Macaca mulatta: one gene and its partners. The protein of the gene in region 2 interacts with the protein of the main gene of each other region in a pairwise test. Links are inferred from orthologs where the notes say so. Each region holds a gene or a part of one and is shown on either strand. Other genes may lie near its edges. The genes, in order: FURIN, MARCHF2, LDLRAD1 and FATE1.

What was found.
Region 1: the proteins of MARCHF2 (region 2) and FURIN interact in a protein complementation assay, tested with the Homo sapiens proteins (2 studies listed by BioGRID). The link is inferred for Macaca mulatta from reciprocal best matches to the Homo sapiens genes MARCHF2 and FURIN.
Region 3: the proteins of MARCHF2 (region 2) and LDLRAD1 interact in binary tests that used the Homo sapiens proteins (3 or more experiments, as listed by UniProt). The two-hybrid records come from large-scale screens. The link is inferred for Macaca mulatta from reciprocal best matches to the Homo sapiens genes MARCHF2 and LDLRAD1.
Region 4: the proteins of MARCHF2 (region 2) and FATE1 interact in binary tests that used the Homo sapiens proteins (3 or more experiments, as listed by UniProt). The two-hybrid records come from large-scale screens. The link is inferred for Macaca mulatta from reciprocal best matches to the Homo sapiens genes MARCHF2 and FATE1.

What each region holds. Positions count from the first base shown.
Region 1 is NC_133412.1:80,789,003-80,793,918, reverse strand, and holds the end of FURIN (furin precursor), read right to left. Parts: intron 4,646-4,916; coding exon 4,473-4,645; intron 4,051-4,472; coding exon 3,838-4,050; intron 3,385-3,837; coding exon 3,284-3,384; intron 3,164-3,283; coding exon 3,060-3,163; intron 2,968-3,059; coding exon 2,850-2,967; intron 2,743-2,849; coding exon 2,563-2,742; intron 2,155-2,562; coding exon 2,030-2,154; intron 1,917-2,029; coding exon 1,806-1,916; intron 1,563-1,805; coding exon 970-1,562; 3' UTR 709-969; downstream 1-708. UniProt on the Homo sapiens protein: Ubiquitous endoprotease within constitutive secretory pathways capable of cleavage at the RX(K/R)R consensus motif. Mediates processing of TGFB1, an essential step in TGF-beta-1 activation.
Region 2 is NC_133424.1:9,260,162-9,265,309, reverse strand, and holds the start of MARCHF2 (E3 ubiquitin-protein ligase MARCHF2), read right to left. Parts: upstream 3,165-5,148; 5' UTR 3,038-3,164; exon of another isoform or gene 2,354-3,037; intron 1,799-2,353; exon of another isoform or gene 1,725-1,798; intron 895-1,724; exon of another isoform or gene 551-894; intron 1-550. UniProt on the Homo sapiens protein: E3 ubiquitin-protein ligase that may mediate ubiquitination of TFRC and CD86, and promote their subsequent endocytosis and sorting to lysosomes via multivesicular bodies.
Region 3 is NC_133406.1:186,598,847-186,603,062, reverse strand, and holds part of LDLRAD1 (low-density lipoprotein receptor class A domain-containing protein 1), read right to left. Parts: intron 2,927-4,216; coding exon 2,798-2,926; intron 866-2,797; coding exon 728-865; intron 1-727.
Region 4 is NC_133426.1:157,951,420-157,956,334, reverse strand, and holds the start of FATE1 (fetal and adult testis-expressed transcript protein), read right to left. Parts: upstream 3,274-4,915; 5' UTR 3,186-3,273; coding exon 3,080-3,185; intron 2,038-3,079; coding exon 1,910-2,037; intron 1-1,909. UniProt on the Homo sapiens protein: Involved in the regulation of endoplasmic reticulum (ER)-mitochondria coupling. Negatively regulates the ER-mitochondria distance and Ca(2+) transfer from ER to mitochondria possibly implicating it in the regulation of apoptosis.

The DNA of each region.
Region 1 (4,916 bases), on a different chromosome or scaffold from region 2:
CAGCTGCTACCCCCATTAAAAATACAAAAACAAATCATCAGCATCTAAAGTGAAATAATCACAAAGTGAAAATATATCCTCAAACAGCCCCTGAGATCCCCACAGGGGAAAGCAGCATTGGGTGGGAGGCCAGAGAGGCTGGCTGGGCCACCGCCCCTCCCCACCACCCACCCAGGGGCTCCAGGTCTGTGAGTGCCAACAGCCCAGACAGCCCGGGCTCAGAAAACAGGGACTTGGGCCCTGATGGGAGAGGCAGGTGCAAAAGAGGGGAGGGTGGTCAGGACACCAGCACAGGGTTCAGCCAGAATTTCAGCCTTGGCTGCGCCAGCCTGGTGGCCAGTGGTGGTGGAGGCAGGGAGCACAGGGGTGGGTCATGGGACACAGGCCACAGGCCAACATGCCACGTGCACACCTGGAGGCACCTGCCTTGCCTTGGTCCCTTCCTATGATGGCTGCTGCTGCCAAGACTCACCAGAGCTGGGGGACAAGGTGGAGGGTGCAGAAGCCCTTGGAGAGGTGGCCTCCTCCCTCAGATACCTCCTAGGCCAGCCCCCGACTGCCTGGATGGGACCATTATTGCTTTAGAGGGACAGGGAAGGGCAAGAGCTACGGCCTGGGTCAGGAATCCCAACAAGCAAAGGCTGCCCCTCTTCACTCCGCAGGAACTCTGGCTGGGGCTGGGGCCTGGGCCTGGGCCTGGGCCTGGGCCTGGGCAAGCTGCCCTAAAGGTTTCACTCCTTTCTCCACATGGAGGGGGTGCTGAGGGTGGGGTACGGCCCTCCCCGCACCCCAGCTGGTCCTGGGCCCACCTCAGGTGGCCAGATGGGCCCGAGGGTAGGAAGGGCGCAGTCTCCACCCCTCTTGCCTCCCAGCTGGGGTCCAAACCCAGTCCCAAGATAAAAAAATACTTTGGTGAATTAAAAAGTGCCCAAGGAGGGGATTGGCTTGAGGGGGTGGGCAGTGGGCTCATCAGAGGGCGCTCTGGTCTTTGATAAAGGCGGTCCTCTCGCCCCGGCCCTCATCCTCTTCTGAGTCAGACGGACACTCCTCCTGCCAGGCTTCAGGGGGCAGCCCCTTGTAGGAGATGAGGCCACGGTCCATGGTGTACACCTTCACCCCCCGGAAGCTAAAGCCAGAGCGCAGCTGCAGGACCAGGAAGACAGTGACGAAGACCAGCACGATGAAGGCGCAGCTGAGGCCAGCCACCACCTCAGGCAGGTGTGAGGGCAGCAGCCCTGCCCGCAGCCGCGGCCCCGCCTCCATCTCTGGGGGCAGCCGGGGTGGCTGCTGCTGTGGCGGGGACTCTCGGCTGCTCTGGCTTTGCCGGGAGCAAGTCTGCTCCACAGGGTCCAAGGAGGCATGGCTGGGGCAGCTGAGGCAGTCTGTCGGGGCCGGCCCCTGGCATGTGGCACATGAGGCGTGGCAGGGGGCGCAGACGCTGGCCCGGATGGTCTCCACGTCATTCTCGGTGCTATAGTGTGTATCGAGGACTTGGGGGGCAAAGCCTGGAGGGCAGTGCTGGACACAGCTCTTCTGGTGCAGGGAGAAGCCTTCCTCGCACACTGCCGGCGTGGGAGAGAGGGCAAGTGTGTGTCAGCTAAACAGACTGTAGCACCAGGACCATAGCAGCCCCAAGCCAAGTCACCACATCCCCAAGATCCCCCAGCCCCAGGACTGTGGTCATCCCAAAAGCCCCAGGGGCCCTAGGTCTCTTGAGACTTTTTTCTTAGAGCTGGGCTTCAGGACAGGCACCCGCCATCCCCCCAGACTCCGGCCCCCAAAGCCCAACAGCACCCACTACTGACCCACACAGGCCTGACTGGACGTGAGGGTCTTGCAGCCACTGCTTTCTGGAGGTATGGGCAGCCCCTCAGGGGCAGTGCCATAGAGTACGAGGGTGAACTTTGTCAGTGTCCCTGTTCCAGAGCGGTGAGGAGGCAAGAGTTGGACAGTGCTGGCACCACGCCCAGTGCCCTAGATCCTGCCAGCCCTCCACCTCGTACCCCTACCCCTCAAGTGCCCCCAGTACCATAGTTGTTGGCTTCGCTGGTGTTTTCAATCTCTAGGACCCACTCGCCAGAGGGATCCTCATCCCAGGAATGAGTTGTCATGAAGGCCCAGTCATTAAACCCATCTGCGGAGTAGTCATGTGGCCTGGGGAGGGGAGTGCACACAGCCCTGAGGCCTCTGGGGGACCCCAAGCTAGGGACATCTAACCCACAGCACACGGGCCACATACCCTTCCCCCACGCAGACCAACCTCACGGGGCCAGAAGTGCCTGCTGGCTTGGCTGTTTCCCAGCGAGCCAGACATGCTCAACCAGGGGATTCTAGAAGGATACACAGGCACTGCACAAGGTGGGGCACACTACTGACATTAAATAGGTGCAAGCCAGGGATTCCTGCAACATGGGACAGTCCCACAGGACAAAACTGTCCCTCCCAAAATGCCAAGAGTGCCCCACTGAGTAGCACTCAGTGCCCCCTGGGCCGTGTGAGCGAGCAAAGGCAAGCACGCGGGCTGTGAGAGGAGGAGGTGATGGGCAGGGACAGAGCAAGCACCTGGCTGCCAGCAGGGTGGAGCGGGTGCCCATGGGGCTGACCAGGTGGATGGCCAGGTCGCCACGGCGATTATAGGACAGGGTGAGCCGCGCCTGAGCGTGCTCCAGCCGAGTGATGTGGTTGGGCTCGCCCAGGCACGCGGTCACGGTCTTCCGCACCTCGAGCCGTTTCCCGATGTCTCTGTGCAGGAGAGGACCATGATGGTCAGCCTGGCCCAGAGGGACCAGCGGGCACCCCCTGCGACTCTGGTCCCACTGGCCCCCTCCCAGCCTGGGTCCAGCCCTCACTTGGGCTCCGTGAGGATGTCGATGATGCACTTCCGCTGGGGGCCCACTGTGGTCCAATTCTGGGCCAGGGCCACCATGGCGCCTGCGTCCAAAAGCCCGTAGCCATACGAGTGGCTCACTGTGGGAACAGGGAAGGTGAAGTCAGCTGTGAGGCACAGAGTGCCTTCCACCTAACTCCACATCCAGCCTGCGGGGCCAGCCTGTCCTCACCTTTCCGGCCCACACCATTGGTGGCCCAGTCGTTGGCGTTGAGGTGGGCTGGCTTCGAGGTCTGTACCACCAGGTGCTGCATGTCCCGCCATGTGAGGTTCTTACTGCAAAGAAGGAAAGGAGAGGTCAGGGATCAGTCTTTTTTGGGAGCAGCTGGAGACTAAGGGCTGCCCTACAGAGAGTGCTGGTAGAGACAGGGTTGCCCCTGGCCCCCACCCACTTACTTGGCCTCCAGGGTGAGAGCAATGATGCCGGCTGCTAAGGGGGCAGAGGCTGAGGTGCCCGTGTGAGACTCCGTGCACTTCTGCCGCAAGTCAGTCGTCACCTGCCAGGAAGATAATCTTATTGGGGCCTGTGATGGGTGGAGAGGGCTAGAGGAGCCACCTGCCTACAGGCCCTGGGCACCACAGATGGTATGAGAAGCCAGGGCCAAGACCCCTGGGTCCCAGCTGCTGCCCTGTTAACTTGCTGTGGACAGGCTAATGATGAGCCCCTCCTGGACCTCATTTTCCAAAGGAATAAGGGGGTTTAACTAGCAGTTGGAGATGAATAAGAACGACGTATGTTTTTAGGGAGAGACTAGGCTTTTCAAAGGCTTCAGGTATGGCTCCACCGCCTCCCAAGAACTTAGAGAGCCCCAGAGTTCACATTCCATGATGCCTGAGCCACTATCACCCAGCCACATGGGGGTGGAGGCAAACAGCCTCCAAAAGAGGGTGCTGGGCAAAGTCAGCCAGCAGCCCCATTTCCCCAGCCCCCAAGCCCAGGTAAGACTCACAATCTGCTTCTCATTCTGGTTGCCACTGCTGTAGGTCGTGGCCAGTGTGGATGAGCAGGCCTCACTGTACCAGGGCACGTTGCCAAACTGCGTGGCGCTGCTGATGGACAGCGTGTAGATACTGTTGGTGTAGCCGTCGCAGTTGCAGCTGTCATGTTCCCGGCCCCCGTTCCCCGAGGCCCAGACAAAGATGGAGCCCAGCCCCCCTCGGCCCTGTGGACAGAGTGGGCTGGGGTCATTCAGGATTGGGACTTGAGGGAGGGTTGGCAGGAGGACACTGCTGGAGAACTGGCCTCATTCTCTGGGAACCTCCTGTCCCCTGTGAGATCCCTGGTGGATCAAGTGTGTATCCAAATATATCTATCTAGACACACAAAAAATCAGACCAGGAGACCAAGGCGGGAGGATTGCTTGAGGCCAGGAGTTCAAGACCACCCTGGGTAACATAGCAAGACCTCATCTCTAAAAAAAAATTGTTTTTTAATTAGCCAAGTGCAATTGGTATAAGCACTTTACTTTTCTTTTGTCCCTTAATGTTTCAATAAACATGTTTTGTGTAAAGTTAAACACGAGAATAAATAAACCAAAAAAACCGCCCAGCCTGCCCCCATGGGCTGGACCGATCCCCACCTCACCTGGCTAACCCCACGGAAGAAGGCCTCCTCAGCGAGGCGGGCTGGCCCATCCACTGTCTTGCCGTCATCCTCGGGGCCCCAGCTAGCACTGTAGATGTGGATGTGGTTGGGGTTCAGGCCCAGCGAGCGTGCCTCCACTGCATCTGTCACCTCGCCATCCAGCATGCGCACCCCTGGCCATGAAGAGGGGGCATGAAGAGGGATGCTGCGTGGGTCCAGCTGTCGGGGCTCCCACCCCAAGGAGCACACCCAGCCCTGCACCCCAGGGGATGAGCAGGGGAGGGTAGAGGCTGATGCTGGGAAACCCTGAACCCCCAACTACCCGTTTGCCTCTGCCTTTCAAAGACAAGACCCAGAGAAGGGAAAAGAGAACACCTCCTGCCCCCAACCACACCTTCTGGACTAGAAAGAGTCTCCGGTTCCCAAAGGAGCCTGGTGATCAAG
Region 2 (5,148 bases):
TACAAAAATGAGCCGGGTGTGGTGGTGTGCGCCTGTAATCCCAGCTACTCAGGAGGCTGAGGTGGGAGAATCATTTGAGCCCAGAAGGTTGAGGCTGCGGTGAGCCATGATTGCACGACTGCACTCCAGCCTGGGCCACAGAGCAAGACCCTGTCTCAATCAATCAAGCGCCACTGGGGTCCACTTGATTCCCCTCCTGGCATGTGTCCCTGTCTGAAACATTCTACTTATTCATCTACGTATTTAGCCATGTCTGTTGTTCCACCCTGCAGTGAATTCTATAAAAAAGGGACCTTGTCAGATTGCCTCCTGCTGTCCCCAGCATGTGGCCCTGGCCCTGTGTCTAGCCCAGAGCTGCTGCATTTCTAGTTGCTACTGCAGTCATTTCTCTTTTTCTTTTTTTATTTTTTGAGACAGAGTCTCGCTCTGTCGCCTAGGCTGGAGTATAGTGGCCGATCTCAGCTCACTGCAATCTCCATCTCCTGGATTCAAGGGATTCTCCTGCCTCAGCCTCCCGAGTAGCTGGGATTACATGCACCCACCACCATACCTGGCTAACTTTTGTATTTTCAGTAGAGACGGGGTTTCACCATGTTGGCCACGTTAGTCTCAAACTCCTGACCTCGTGATCCACCCACTTCAGCCTCCTAAAGTGCTGGGATTACAGGTATGAGTCACCGCGCCTGGCCTATTTCTTTTCTCTCTTCTGTTGTTTGTTTGTTTGTTTGTTTTGAGGCAGGGTCTCACTCTGTCACCCAAAAGGCTGGAAGGCAGTGTAGTAATCCTCCCACCTCAGCCTCCTAAGTAGCTCTGCACACCACCACATCCAGTTAATTTTTGTATTTTTTTGTAGAGATGGTGTTTTGCCAAGTTGCCTAGGCTGGTCCTGAACTCCTGGCCTCCAGTGATCTGCCCGCCTTGGCCTCTCAAAGTGTTGGGATTACAGGCATGAGCCACCATGCACGGCCTGGATATAGATCTCATTGAGTCTTCACAACAAACCAATAACTACACCCTGTGATGGGGGAAGAGGCCGATGCTCAGAGAGAGGCATCTACCTTTCCAAGGTCACACAGCTGGGAAGGGGTGGTGTCAGAACTTGAACTTAAAACAGTCCAGGGAGTGGGTCTGGACCTCAAGAGACCTGGGTTCTTTAACTCCTGGCCCTCCTGGCTCTGCCACCAATGCTGAGTGTCCTGGTTCAAGTCATTTTGCTTCTCTGGGCTTCATTCTAATGATGGAGCTGGTGGAATCTGTCTGTGGAGGGGGTCTCCTGAGAAGGAGCCTCCAGGCTGAATTCATCAAGTAAAGCTCACCCTTAGCTAGGCTTGTTTAGGGTGGCACTGAGGCCCCCCAGTCTTTTCCATACCTGCCCAGGCTCCTTTTCCTAAAGGTAGGAAACAGAGAGCAGAGGAATCAGAGGGCCCTAAAACTCCCTACAGTGTGATCTCAGGCAGCTGTTTTACTCTCTCAGCCTCAGTATTCTCATCCACAAAATGAGTGTTATAGGCCGGGCGAAGGGCTCATGCCTATAATCCCAGCACTTTGCGCACTTTGGGAGCTCAAGGATGGTGGATCACTTGAGGCCAGGAGTTCAAGACCAGCCCAGTCAACATGGTGAAACCACCTCATTTCTGCTAAAACGACAAAAACTGGCCAGGCATGGTGGCGGGCGCCTGTAATCCCAACTACTCGAGAGGCTGAGGTGAGAGAATCGCTTGAACCTGGGAGGCAGAGATTGCAATGAGCCGAGATCGTGTCACTGCATTCCAGTCTGGGCAAGAGAGGGAGACTCCATCTAAAAAAAAAAAGAAGGGGTGTCATAATATATAGTTCATAAATTAGTAAAAATTAAGAAATTAATTATTAGCTCCTATTATAATTACTATCATCAGCTTACAGAGCTGTTGATGAGAGGCCACACAGTCAACCCCTGGCACACACAGTAAGTGCTCAATAAAAGCTCACTATTGGCCGGGCACGGTGGCTCATGCCTGTAATCCCAGCACTTTGGGAAGCCGAGGCGGGTGGATCACGAGGTCAGGATATCGAGACCATCCTGGTTAACACTATCTCTACTAAATATATATATATATAATATATATATATATAAAATTAGCTGGGCATGGTGGCGGGCGCCTGTAGTCCCAGCTACTCGGGAGGCTGAGGCACGAGAATGGCGTGAACCCGGGAGGCATGAACCCGGGAGGCAGAGCTTGCAGTGAGTGGGAGATCACGCCACTGCACTCCAGCCTGGACGACAGAGTGAGACTCCGTCTCAAAAAAAAAAAAAAATTAATATTTTTTAGGGTAAATGTGGAGGTTGTCATTGCATTCATTCCTCTTCCCTTACCATAGAGAGGCTCCTGTGTGTCCTTCAGTTCCTTTAGGCACTGCATGAGAAACGAGGTTCCAATCCCACCTCTACTCCTTATGTGCTGTGTGGCCCTGGGCAAGACACTTAACCTGTCTAAGCCTGGACTCTCTCATCTGTATAACAGGGGACATTTCTAGTGCTTCCATCTACTCAGTATGGTTTCAAAAGAACTGAATGAGCTCAATATGCCCATTTGATTACGCTGTTTTGAGTACCCATATAGCACAGGGTATCCTGTTTGAGCATCTTTGTGCAAAGTGGCTGGCTCATTATATTATAACTTACTATTTTGCAAGTAGAGAGGCTCTGAGAAGGAGGTTGGGGAAGGGCATTGGCCACTTCGTAGTTACCTACTGTGTGTCAGGCGCTTTCTGCACCAGCCACCTCCTGAGTCCTCCCAGAAGCCCCATCAGGTTGGCAATGGGATGACCCAGTTTCACAGGTGGGGAAACCGAGGCTCGGAGAGGCGCCTACTGTGTACCGGACCCCGGGGACCTCCCACCGGCCTTGACACGGGAACTGGGGTCCCCGCGTCCCTGAGAAGGCTGTGGTCAAGGGATCGAGCCCAGCCGTCCCGCCCGGGTGCCGAGCTCCGGCCTCGAACCCGGGGCTGGCCCGCGGACTGGCGTCCTCTGACCCCACCTGCAGGCCCATGCCTACCTGATACGCGGCCGGGCCGGGCGGCCGCGCAGGCCCCTCCGTTCGCCCCGGCCCGGGTCCCGGCCCGGCCCGGCCCGTCGGCGCCACTAGCTCCGCTCCGGCCGGCACCTGCGTCCGGGCACCGCCCGCCGAGCCGACAGCGCCGCGGGCCAATAGCGACCGCCTCTCGCTCTCACTCGCCAATCGCCACGCACGTCCCGCCCTGAGAGGCGGGGCCGGAGGCGACAGGGACGCCGTGGGCCGCACAGGCCCCGCTGCGCCGCAGCTGCTGACTCCGCCCCTGCCGAGTCTTGGCTCCGCCCCCCAGCTCCGGCTCCGCCCCCAGCACTGGTCCCGCCCTAGCCCAGCCCAGGCACCAGGGGTGCTGCTGCGCCACCTGCAGACCGCCATCGTCGTCTAATAAAACCGCTGCAGAATTCAACTTTTTTTTTTTTTTTTTTTTGAGACTAGCCGGTCGCAGTGGCTCAAGCTTGTAATCCCAGCACTTTGGGAGGCCGAGACGGAAGGATCGCTTGAGCCCAGAAGTTGGGGACCAGCCTGGGCAACATAGTGAGATCCTGTCTCTACAAAAAATTTAAAAGTTAGACGAGCGTGGTGGTGCGGGCCTGTAGTCCCAGATGCTCTGGAGGCTGAGGCAAGAGGTTCACTTGAGCCCAGGAGTTCGAGGCCAGCGTGGGCAACATAGTAAACTCACCCACCCCCATCTCTAAGACAGATCCATTTTTTTAAAAATACTGCACTATGTCCGGGAGCGGTGGCTCACGCCTGTAATCCCAGCACTTGGATCATTTGAGGTCAGGAGTTTGAGACCAGCCCGGCCAACATGGTGAAACCCCATCTGTACTAAAAATACAAATAATTGGCTGGGTTTGGTTGTGGGCACCAGTAATACCAGCTACTCAGGAGGCTGAGGCAGGAGAATTGCTTGAATCTGCAAGGCGGAGGTTGCAGTGAGCAGAGATCTTGCCACTGCATTCTAGCCTGGGTGACACAGCCAGACTCTGTCTCCAAAAAAAAAAAAAGTTTCCAATAAAGTCCCTTAAAAATCCAAAATCCAGGCCAGGCACAGTGACTCATGTCTGTAATCCCAGCTCTTCGGGAGCCCAAGGCAGAAAGGTCTCTTGGGTCCAGGAGTCTGAGACCTCATCTCTACAAAATAAAAGAAAAATATTGGCCGGGCGCGGTGGCTCAAGCCTGTAATCCCAGCACTTTGGGAGGCCGAGACGGGCGGATCACGAGGTCAGGAGATCGAGACCATCCTGGTTAACACGGTGAAACCCCGTCTCTACTAAAAATACAAGAAAATTAGCTGGGCGAGGTGGCGGGCGCCTGTAGTCCCAGCTACTCGGGAGGCTGAGGCAGGAGAATGGCGTGAACCCGGGGAGGCGGAGCTTGCAGTGAGCCGAGATCACGCCACTGCACTCCAGCCTGGGCAACAGCGTGAGACTCCGTCTCAAAAAAAAAAAAAAAAAAAAAAAAAAAAAAAAAAATATTAGCCAGGCGTGGTGGCATCCTCCTGTGGTCCCAGCTACTTGGGAGGCTGAGGTGAGAGGATCAGTTGAGCCCAGGAGTTCCGGGCTGCAGTGAGCCATTACCTCACCACTGCATTCCAGCCTGGGCAACAGAGCAAGATCCTGTGTCAAAAAAACAAAAAAATCCCTAATCCATCCCGGGATCAAGTGTTGTATTTTGTTGTTATGACTCTAATTTAGTCTCTCTTTCTGGAACATTTTATCAATCTTACCTTCTCTCCATGACGTCAATATTTTTCAAAAATTCCAGGCTAGTAATTTTGAAGAAAGTCCTTCCATTGCTATTTGTCTAACACTTCCTCATGATTTTGCATTTGTGGCAGGAAACAGACGTGACATTGCGTTTTCAGGATGCATACAATGTTGATTTTGTCCACTACCGATTATGCTAACTTGGTTCAAATGGTGTCTGCCAGTTTCTCCAGTGTGAGTTAGTGTGTTACACTTTGGTTTTTTGTTGTTGTTTTTAATATTTTATTTAATTTTAATTTTTTTTTTTTTTTTTTTGAGACAGGGTCTCACTCTGTCACCCAGGCTGGAGTGCAATGGCATGGTCTCAGCTCACTGCAACCTCTGCCT
Region 3 (4,216 bases), on a different chromosome or scaffold from region 2:
CTAAAGAGGGGCCTGGGGATGAGCTGGGGCAAGGACTAGATGTTTTTGAAATTGCTTCTCGTCTTGAGGGTCTTTGATGCAATGACTCGCCCTCCATGAGCTCCCCTACCCCACCCACTGCACCTCTCCAGGCTGTCTCTCTCCTGTGGGGTCAGGCTTCTCTCTCCTGAGAACATTCTGGTGTCTGAGGTCCGGGGCCAGGTCTTCCCATTCATTCATTTGCTCATTCATTCAGCAAGCCATTCTGAATACCCCTCTGTGCTAGGCGCTGGGGCCCCCATATCAAGCGGACTGGGCCTGCCTCAGAGGAGTTCACAGTCTGATGGGGGCAGCAGATGTGCCAATCGAGTGACAACCAGTGTGACGAGGGCTGCGACACAGGGAACCACAGGGACTGTGGAAGCCCAAGGAGACAATTTAACCTCGTGTGGGAGTCAGGGAAAGCTTCCTGGAGGAGGTAACACTTGAACTCTGCCTTGAGGGATGAATACGGGTTCTCTGGGAGTGGAGATGCACAGGGTGAAGGCATTCCTTAGTGGGGGCATGTATGTCCCTGACTGGGACCAGGTCGGGGCAGGCGTTCCTGGCTGAAGGCACTGGAGCATCAAAACCATGGGGACGTGAAGGTGCCTGGTGTGTTCAGGGATGACTGAGCTTCAGTATGGCTGCAGAGATAATTAGGCTGTGGGGGAACCCCTGGGAGGGGCAGCACCGAGCGGGTACTCACGGCACAAGCTCTCATCCTCATCCTCGCCGTGGGTACAGGTGCAAACGCCATCACAGACCCCACTGGCTGGAATGCAGCTCCTCTGGTCATGGCACAAGAAGCCTGTCCTATTTGTCAGTGTTATACAAGCTTGGGCTCCTGAATGGGTAGGGGAAGGCCCTGGAGGGTCAGGGGTGGTGCTCACAAGGACAAACTTTCCTCACCTGAACTCCACCTAGAGCTGGCCTGAGGGGCTAGAGCAGTGGGGGGGATGAACCCAGCGCCATCAATGGGGTTCAAGCCCCAGCTCTACCCACTGCCGGCTGCCTGATCTTGGGCAGATGACCTGACCACCTTGAGTCTCAGGTTGTCTGCAACATGGGGATCATAGCACACACCCCGTGGGACTGTTGCGGGGATTAAATAAAACCATCTCTGTGAAGAAACATAGAACAGAAAATGTGCAGGACAAGTAATGGTTCTCTCCTGTATTGAAAACTTATTTACAGTGTCACGGGAAGCTTCTGAGGACAGTGTTCAATTAAGTGAAGTGGTTGTAATGGTGAAGCTCCTGGTATGAGGTTAGAGTGTCAGAAGCAATATACTTGGGCTGGCTGGAGGGCCATATGTCATAATTCCTTCTATCTGGGCACAACTGCAAAGCACTTTCATATCTTTATTCTATAGTTCCCCAAACACCCCTGAGACACGTCATCATTGGCCCCCCATATGGGAGGAGAAAAGGAATACCCACTCCTAGGGCTGCCGCAAAGAATTAAAAGACGGAAACCTGCGGACAAGGTAGGGGGAACCCCTTGGCCCCACGTGTGTATACGTGTGCATAATTGGGGATGGGAGCCGGTTTGTGCATTTGTGTTTGTGCATGCGTGAACCACCTCTCAGTCCCTGGGCAGCCTCAGCTAGTGTGGGTTGGGGGACGGGGGAGCAACTCTCAGAGACACTCATGTTGACACAGACACACACACAGATGCACACACACATGAACACATGCTCACACACAGCTGCACCTACATGCACACTCACAGATACACAGACAACAGATGTGCACACATGCACTGACACACACATGCTCTCACACAGACATGAACATGCATACACAGACAGCTGCATATACTCATAGACACACAAAACACACAGGTGCGTGCACGGACTCATGACTGCAGCTGCTCATGTATTCGCATCCACCTCAGGGCCTGTGTTCCTGCACAGGCAGCGGGAGAGCTCAGCCCCTGCCTCAGCCCTCTACACCCACCCTGCCCGGCTGCAGAGCCATCCTGCAGAAACATCCACCTGGTGACACTTGCCCCCAGCTTAATCTCCTGTGGCTCCTGGACTATGACCTCCCTTCTCGGTGCAGCCTGTGAGGCCCTTGGCCCCACTTGTCACTCTAGCCCTTCCTGCACACTGGCCTCTTGCAGTCTCTTCTTCTCTTCCTGCTTCCTCCCACCCCTCAGGGCTCCACACATGCTGTTCCCTGTTCCTGGGATGCTTTTCCTGGCATCCCCCCACTACTAATACCCATTGTGCCTACCCTGACTCCTCAACGGGGCTAGACTCTCAGGGATCCCAGGGACCCTGCTGTAATATGTATTCATGTCGAGACTGCTCTCAGAACAATTATTAGCTCCATGAGGGCAGGCACTGTCTTGGGGTTGTTCACCCCTGAAGCTGGGGCTGCAGGCATGTATGGGATGTGACCCTGTCCCCCATGGTGGAGATGGACACACAGATGTATAGCACTACCCCAGGGTGCCCAGGCCAGGGGAAGAGGAAGTATAGGGACTGTGGGGCTGAGAAGAGGCTTGTAACCCAGCCTGGGGGTCTAGGAAGACATCCTGGAGGAGGTGACTTCAGAGCTGGATCCTCTCGGTAACCATGTCACAGATGTGCAAATGGAGGCTCAGAGACTGGTACAGTCAGTGTGTGTGCAGGTGTCTGTGCGTGCACCTTAAGGAATTTGTCCAAAGTCATCTGGTAGAGAAGCCAGGCAGGTCGGGGCTCCCTCATCTCTCTGTGCCCCCCCATGCCCTTCCCACCGGGTCTGACCCACCCTTTCTTGGCTGCCCTGACCGGGGGTGCGTGATGGGAGTCCAAGGATGGTGACCAAGGCGATGAGGGCGGCCAGAGTTGCCAGGAGGAACAGCAGAGAGGCAGAGAGGCAGGCCCTGCGACGCGAGCAGCAGAGGGGGCCGCAGCCTGCTGTGTGGGGGGAAACAAGCCCGGGGGTGGTGGTGATGAGGGCCAGCACTGGGAACAGGGTGCTCCCTTCCCGCCATGCCCGCTGCAAGCAGCCTGTCCCCAACCAGGGTGAGCAGAGCAGGGATGGCTTCCCTGGAGGAGCAGCTCCCAAGCCCTCCGTGATGCTCTTTGATGCTCTTTGTTCTGCCTGTGGGCCCACTCCACTAGATGCCACCCTGGCCGGGGCCCACAGATGACTGAATGGCAGAGGCGGACAGCCTCCTCTCCCACCCGCCATCAGGTGACCTCCTCAGGACACTGGGAGAGATGGACGCCTGTGTGTCCAGCCCCCAACTTGGGGCAGAAGCTCCATTAGGCCCTTCATAACCATGGTCTTTATTTTTCAAAACAAACTTTTATTTTATCAATGAGGAAACTAGGGCTCAAGAAGAAAAGATTCAGGTCACCCCGGGTAGAGCTGGCGTGTGAATCTACACCTGTTTGATGCCAAAACCCATGCCCTTTTCACTGTCCCAATTGACTGTTCATTCTGGAGTCTGCTGGGATGCAGGTTGGAATCCCAGCTCTACCACATCCTATCTGGGCCACACTGAGTAAGCCACTTCACTTCCCTGTGCCTCAGATTCCTCATGTGGAAAATGGGGACCACAGTAGCTACCTCTGAGTTTGTTGAGAGGATTAGAATTTGTTGAGTTAATGTGTTAGAACAGTGCTCAGCACATAGTAAGTGGTGAGTATGAGCTATTATTATTGCTTTTTAAAAAATTATTATTTTTTATATTTTAGGGATAGGGTCTGGCTCTGTTGCCCACGCTGCAGTGCAGTGGTGTGATCGTAGTTCACTGCACCCTGTAAGTCCTAGGCTCAAGCAGTCCTCCTGCCTCAGCCTCCCAAAGTGCTGGGACAACAGGCGTGTACCACCGTGTCTGGTCTATTATTGCTTGTTGAGGACTTACCATGTGCCGCGCCTTATTCTAAGTGCTACGGAGATAGCAGTGACAGGGGACCTCCCTACTCTTGTAGAACTGCACTTTAATTCTCCTTTAATTCTCTCCTGCTTACAAAATAATAAAAGAAGGCTTTACTGAGGACCTCCTGGGTACCCTGCTGTGCAGCTTGCCCTGGTCCTTGTCCTCTGCAGCTTGTTATTGCACTTAGAAGGCAAGGCATGGACATGTCTGAAGGAGCATGGGAGCTACTGACCTGCCACAGGTACCTCAGAGAAAGGGGCAGGAGCAGGTGTGATTCATCCCTGTGACCCCAGAACCCAGCCTAGAGCCAGGCATGTGG
Region 4 (4,915 bases), on a different chromosome or scaffold from region 2:
TTCTAAATTTAATTTATAAATTCAATTTAATGTCTATATTTTCAAACAGTCTACCTCTAGCCCTCATAGTCAACTTTAATTAAACCAGAGAAACGCATGCCTTGGAAATTGCCAGGGTACTCCTGGAGATGGGCATCCCCATGGCCTGATTCTCTCAGCATTCTGGGCATTGGCAGCTGGGACCCCTGAAGAAAGGAATGATCAGTAAAGTAGCCTGCCCAGCCTGTCCTCTAGTCTCAGGGACGTTGGTGGCTTGCAGGAGCCTGACTTCCTGGAGCAACTTGATTTGGCTTCTGTCTTTGGACACAAAAAGCCAACTCAATATTTGACTTATTTTTATTCCCAGGAAATCTCTAACTTGCAAGCTTTTTTTCTCATTCTTCACTGGGGCTACCCAATAAATCATTTCAGCAATCAAGTCTCCCTCCCTCTCCAACCTTATTGCCCCCCAATAACTTTCAAACTTTACTGTGGTAACAGTAAAACCACCATTTTCTAACGCTTTCCCTCATCCACCTGAATGTGGTGAACAACATTGGCTACGCAATTATGGGATTCATGATTCCCTAAAACGGTCAGGTCTACCTCCTCTGCAAAATGGCTCAGTATCCTTTGCAACAATGTGGCCAGCATTTTTCTAGAAGATTCAACACCCACAATGAATGTAGCTTAAAGAATTGGCTACAGAACTGTGGGACTCACATGATTTCCTGGAGCAGTCAGACCTCCCTCCCTCTCCAATCTTGTTGCCTTTTCCCAGCAGCCTTTGCAACAGCATAACAACAATTTTTGTAAAACTTTCCCTTACTCACAGTGAATTTAGCTAGCTAAAATGATTGGCTACAGAACTGTGGGACTCACTTAATTCTCTAGAATAGTCAGGCTTCCCTCCCCATCCAAAATGACTGTGTTTTCCCAATATCATTTGCAACAGTATAGCCACTATTTATTCTAAAACATTCCTTCACCCATATCGAATGTAGCTTAAAAGGACTGGCTACAAAATGGTCAGATTCACTTTCCTGGATTTCTTTTTTCTTTCTTTCTCTTTCTTTCTTTCTTTCTTTCTTTCTTTCTTTCTTTCTCTTTCTTTCTTTCTTTCTTTCTTTCTTTCTTTCTTTCTTTCTTTCTTTCTTTCTTTCCTTTCTTTTCCTTTTCCTTCCTTCTTCTCTCTCTCTCTCTCTCTCTCTCTCCCCCTCTCTCTCTCTGTCTCTCTCTCTCTCTCTCTCTCTCTCTCTCTCTCTCTCTTCCTTTCTTTCTCTTGCTCTGTTGCCCAGACTGGAGTACAGTTGCATGATCTCAGCTCACTGCAACCTCTGCTTGCTAGGTTCAAGCGATTCTCATGCCTCAGCCTCCTGAGTAGCTGTGATTACAGGCATGTGCCACCATGCCCAGCTAATTTTTGTATTTTTAGTAGAGACAAGGTTTCACCATGCTGGCCAGACTGTTCTCCAACTCCTGGCCTCAAGTGATCCGTCCACCTCTTCCTGCCAGAGTGCTCAGATTACAGGCATGAGCCACCATGCCAGACGACTTGACTGGATTTCTTAACAGCCAGAAAGCGTAGGAGCCTCACCTGAGTTATTGTGTGTATACACACACACGCACCACACACACAATTTTAAATACAGGAAGCGTTATTTCACACAATGGATTTACAGAGTGAAATATTTATGTACTCCCCATGCAATATTTGTTTCAGGCGTTCTGAACTCCCAAGGTTGCATCCCAAGCATAGGAAAGGATGACCCTGACCTTTCTGTCCTCATTTGCCAGCTTGGAATACAGGAGCTTCCTCCTCCTCACAAGTCAATGTCTAGCCCTGCCTGACCTGGTCAGGCTACAGCCCCTACAACCAGTACTCCCAACCCCAACCTGGCCAACATGTGCTGAGGACCCCATGCAGTACCATTTTCTTGGATCGGGTGGCAGTCATATTCCAAACTCGTTTCGCTGAAGCAGAGCCAGCAGCTTTTTGTTCCAACTTCTGCCTCTTCTGGGAGGCACCCAGGGACCGAGATCCATGCTCCATCATTTCTAGAGAGAAGAACAGAGACCCCAGGAGCACCCATAGAAGTTGTACCAGGGCTTCTTGGGCACAAAACACACCAAAAAGAAGACAGAGTCCCCAGCTTTCTTGGGAATCACTCAGCACCCATTAACCACTGTCCACCAGCTGATCCCAGGTCTCAGTTTGTTCATCTGTTCAAAAGTTAAACAAGAATCCTGAGGGCTCAGCTCGAGACTAGGTTACTCTCCAGTAATCTAGAGAGCAATGACCAAGAACAAGATTCCAGCTATCAAGGAACTGACCATCTGTTTTGTGTATAAGAGTGAATGACAGGTGTAAAACAGAAGGTCTATCCTTGCAAATGCAGACAGAGAGATGCAGGCTCCATAAATGATCAAAACAGGGTAACATAGTGGAAGGAAAGGGCTCCTTCTAGAAAAGTAGGAGACAACAATTGAGGCAGGGACCTGAAAAAAATAAAGGACCCAGCCCTGGGAAATTGAGGGAAAGAGCATTCCAGACAGAGGAAACAGCAAATGCAAGGTCTTTGGGGAAGAAGCAGGCTTGGAGCATTGTAAGAACAAACATAAATGCAATGTGATCTGGATCCCTTTGTGTGCTATAGAAATGGTATTTTCTGTCTATATCATAGTATGAAATGTTTTGAGGAGGCTGATACAATCTTATAGATCATGGAGTCTGGATTTTCCTCCAAATGGCAGGAAAATGAATTCGAGGGTTGGGAGAGAGAATTGATCTCTGGTCTCATAATTTGAGCCCTCTGAGTATTTTGCAACAGACACTGTGGTGGCTTGGACAAGGGGAAGACAGAGGGACCACACATGTTGTTCCCATCCTCCTCCCTCCCAGGGCAAAATGCTCACATCATCTATCCCTTTTCTCCTAGATCCCTTACCATCAACCCACAAATCCTCAAAGCCCGCCCAACACACAGATGTGCAAACACTTCCATGCACACATGCACCTTTCCCAACACACACATGCACAGGTACAGACATGTATCTACACAGTTGGCTGTAGCCTAGGGGTATTTTAGGGGATCCTCACCCGCTATCACCAGGTGCTCTTGGTTTTGCCCTTGGCGTCCATGATTCAGTTCTTCTGTCAGGGACATTTCCATCTCTGCCTTGGTGTTGGGAGGGCCTCCTGCCATCACAACCAGCTGTTCACTTGTAAGCTATGGCTAAGGATGTACAGGGTGCCAGGAACAGAGGAGTCACACTCAGAAAATCACCTCTTCCTGGAACAGGAGCTCAAGGAAGATATAGTCAGACCTGGGGGTGGAGCAAGACTCCCTCTCTAGGCTGAGGCCTTGGACTCAGCACTTTCTGTTTCTATTGTATCTTGTTGGCTAGGTCCGTGGCCTTCTCCTTGCTACTCTGTAAGCAACTTAGGAGAAGAGATACAATTCCATGCCTTTGACTGTGAGAACTGCTCTGGCTCATAAATCTCCATATTTAGCCCATGGGGGGAAGGGTGGGGTCTACCCTCCATCATTTCTATGAAGAAACAGGGATTGGCACAGGGTCCAAGAGCCAGGCAGTGGCTACAGCAGAGTTAGGTCCTAGCAATCCAGGCCATACCACACCTTCAGAAGGGATTCTCTGGAGAGCATATCCTACCTCCCCCATCCAGAGTCCCCAGACATGGGAGGTAGCCTTTTTCTGAAGTAGGTCAGACTAGGCAGGAGCCATGAGAACAAAGGGAGAGAAGGGTAAGAGAGGTGGGACCTGACTGCAGCCACTAGAACTCCCAGGGGCCTCAGGCCTTGCACCTTCTAAGTCCCAATTCTCCCTCAGTTTCCCTACTGATTAGACCACTGTGATGGTCAGGTTTATGTGTCACCTGGCCAGGTTCTAGTCCCCAGTGACTCCTTCAAACACTAGTCTAGGTGTTGCTGTGGAGGCATTTTGTAGCTGTGGTTGGCATCTACAACCAGTGGACTTGAAGTAAAGTAGAGACACATCCTCGATGATGTGGGTTGGTCTCACACAATCAACTGAGAGGCCTGAAGAGCAAAGACTGAGGTTTCCCAAAGTAGAGGTAATTCTACCCCAGGACTGCAGTGTCAACTCTTCTTTGAGTTGCCAGCCTGCCAGGCTGCCCTGCACATTTCAGACTTGTCAGCCCCACAATTGCATAAGTCAATTTATTAAAATAAATGTATATATACTTGTGCATATGCAGATACATACATACATACATACATACATATATACATCCTATCAGTTCTGTTTCTCTGGAAAACACTGATTGCTACACGACCTATGGTGAACCCTTCATTCTAGGAAACAACCCCAGAGCCCCTGGGGGAATAGGAGGCTATTTGTGAAAGGAATCAGGACAGGTTTATAAAACGTTCCTTTTAGAAATAGCCTCTTCTTCCCCCAGAGCCCTTGGGTCAGGTGGGATAAAGAGGAGGAAGGAAGGAGGAAAAGAGGAAGGGAGGAAGGAAGGAAGGAAGGAAGGAAGGAAGGAAGGAAGGAAGGAAGGAAGGAAGGAAGGAAAAGAGGAAGGGAGGAAGGAAGGAAGGAAAGAAGGAAGGAGGAAAAGAGGAAGGAAGGAAGGAAGGAAGGAAGGAAGGAAGGAAGGAAGGAAGGAAGGAAGGAGAGGGAGTGCAAAGGAAGGGGTCAGAACTAGCTGAGATAGGGCAGCATGGTCTGAGGCTGCCTGTCCCCTGCCCCCACCTCACCTGTCCAGCGCTGGGGCCGAGCTCTTGGGAAGCAGAGCTGATATAGGCCCTGCCTGCATTCCTGGGGGCCCCAAAGAAGCCCTTCCCAGATCTAGTGGAGCAGCTGCGATGAAATTTGAGCTTTCTGGAGGGCCACCTTGGGAGCAGAGAAACTACTGAGTGTGCTCAGCTTAGTGGGATTCAGGAGCCTG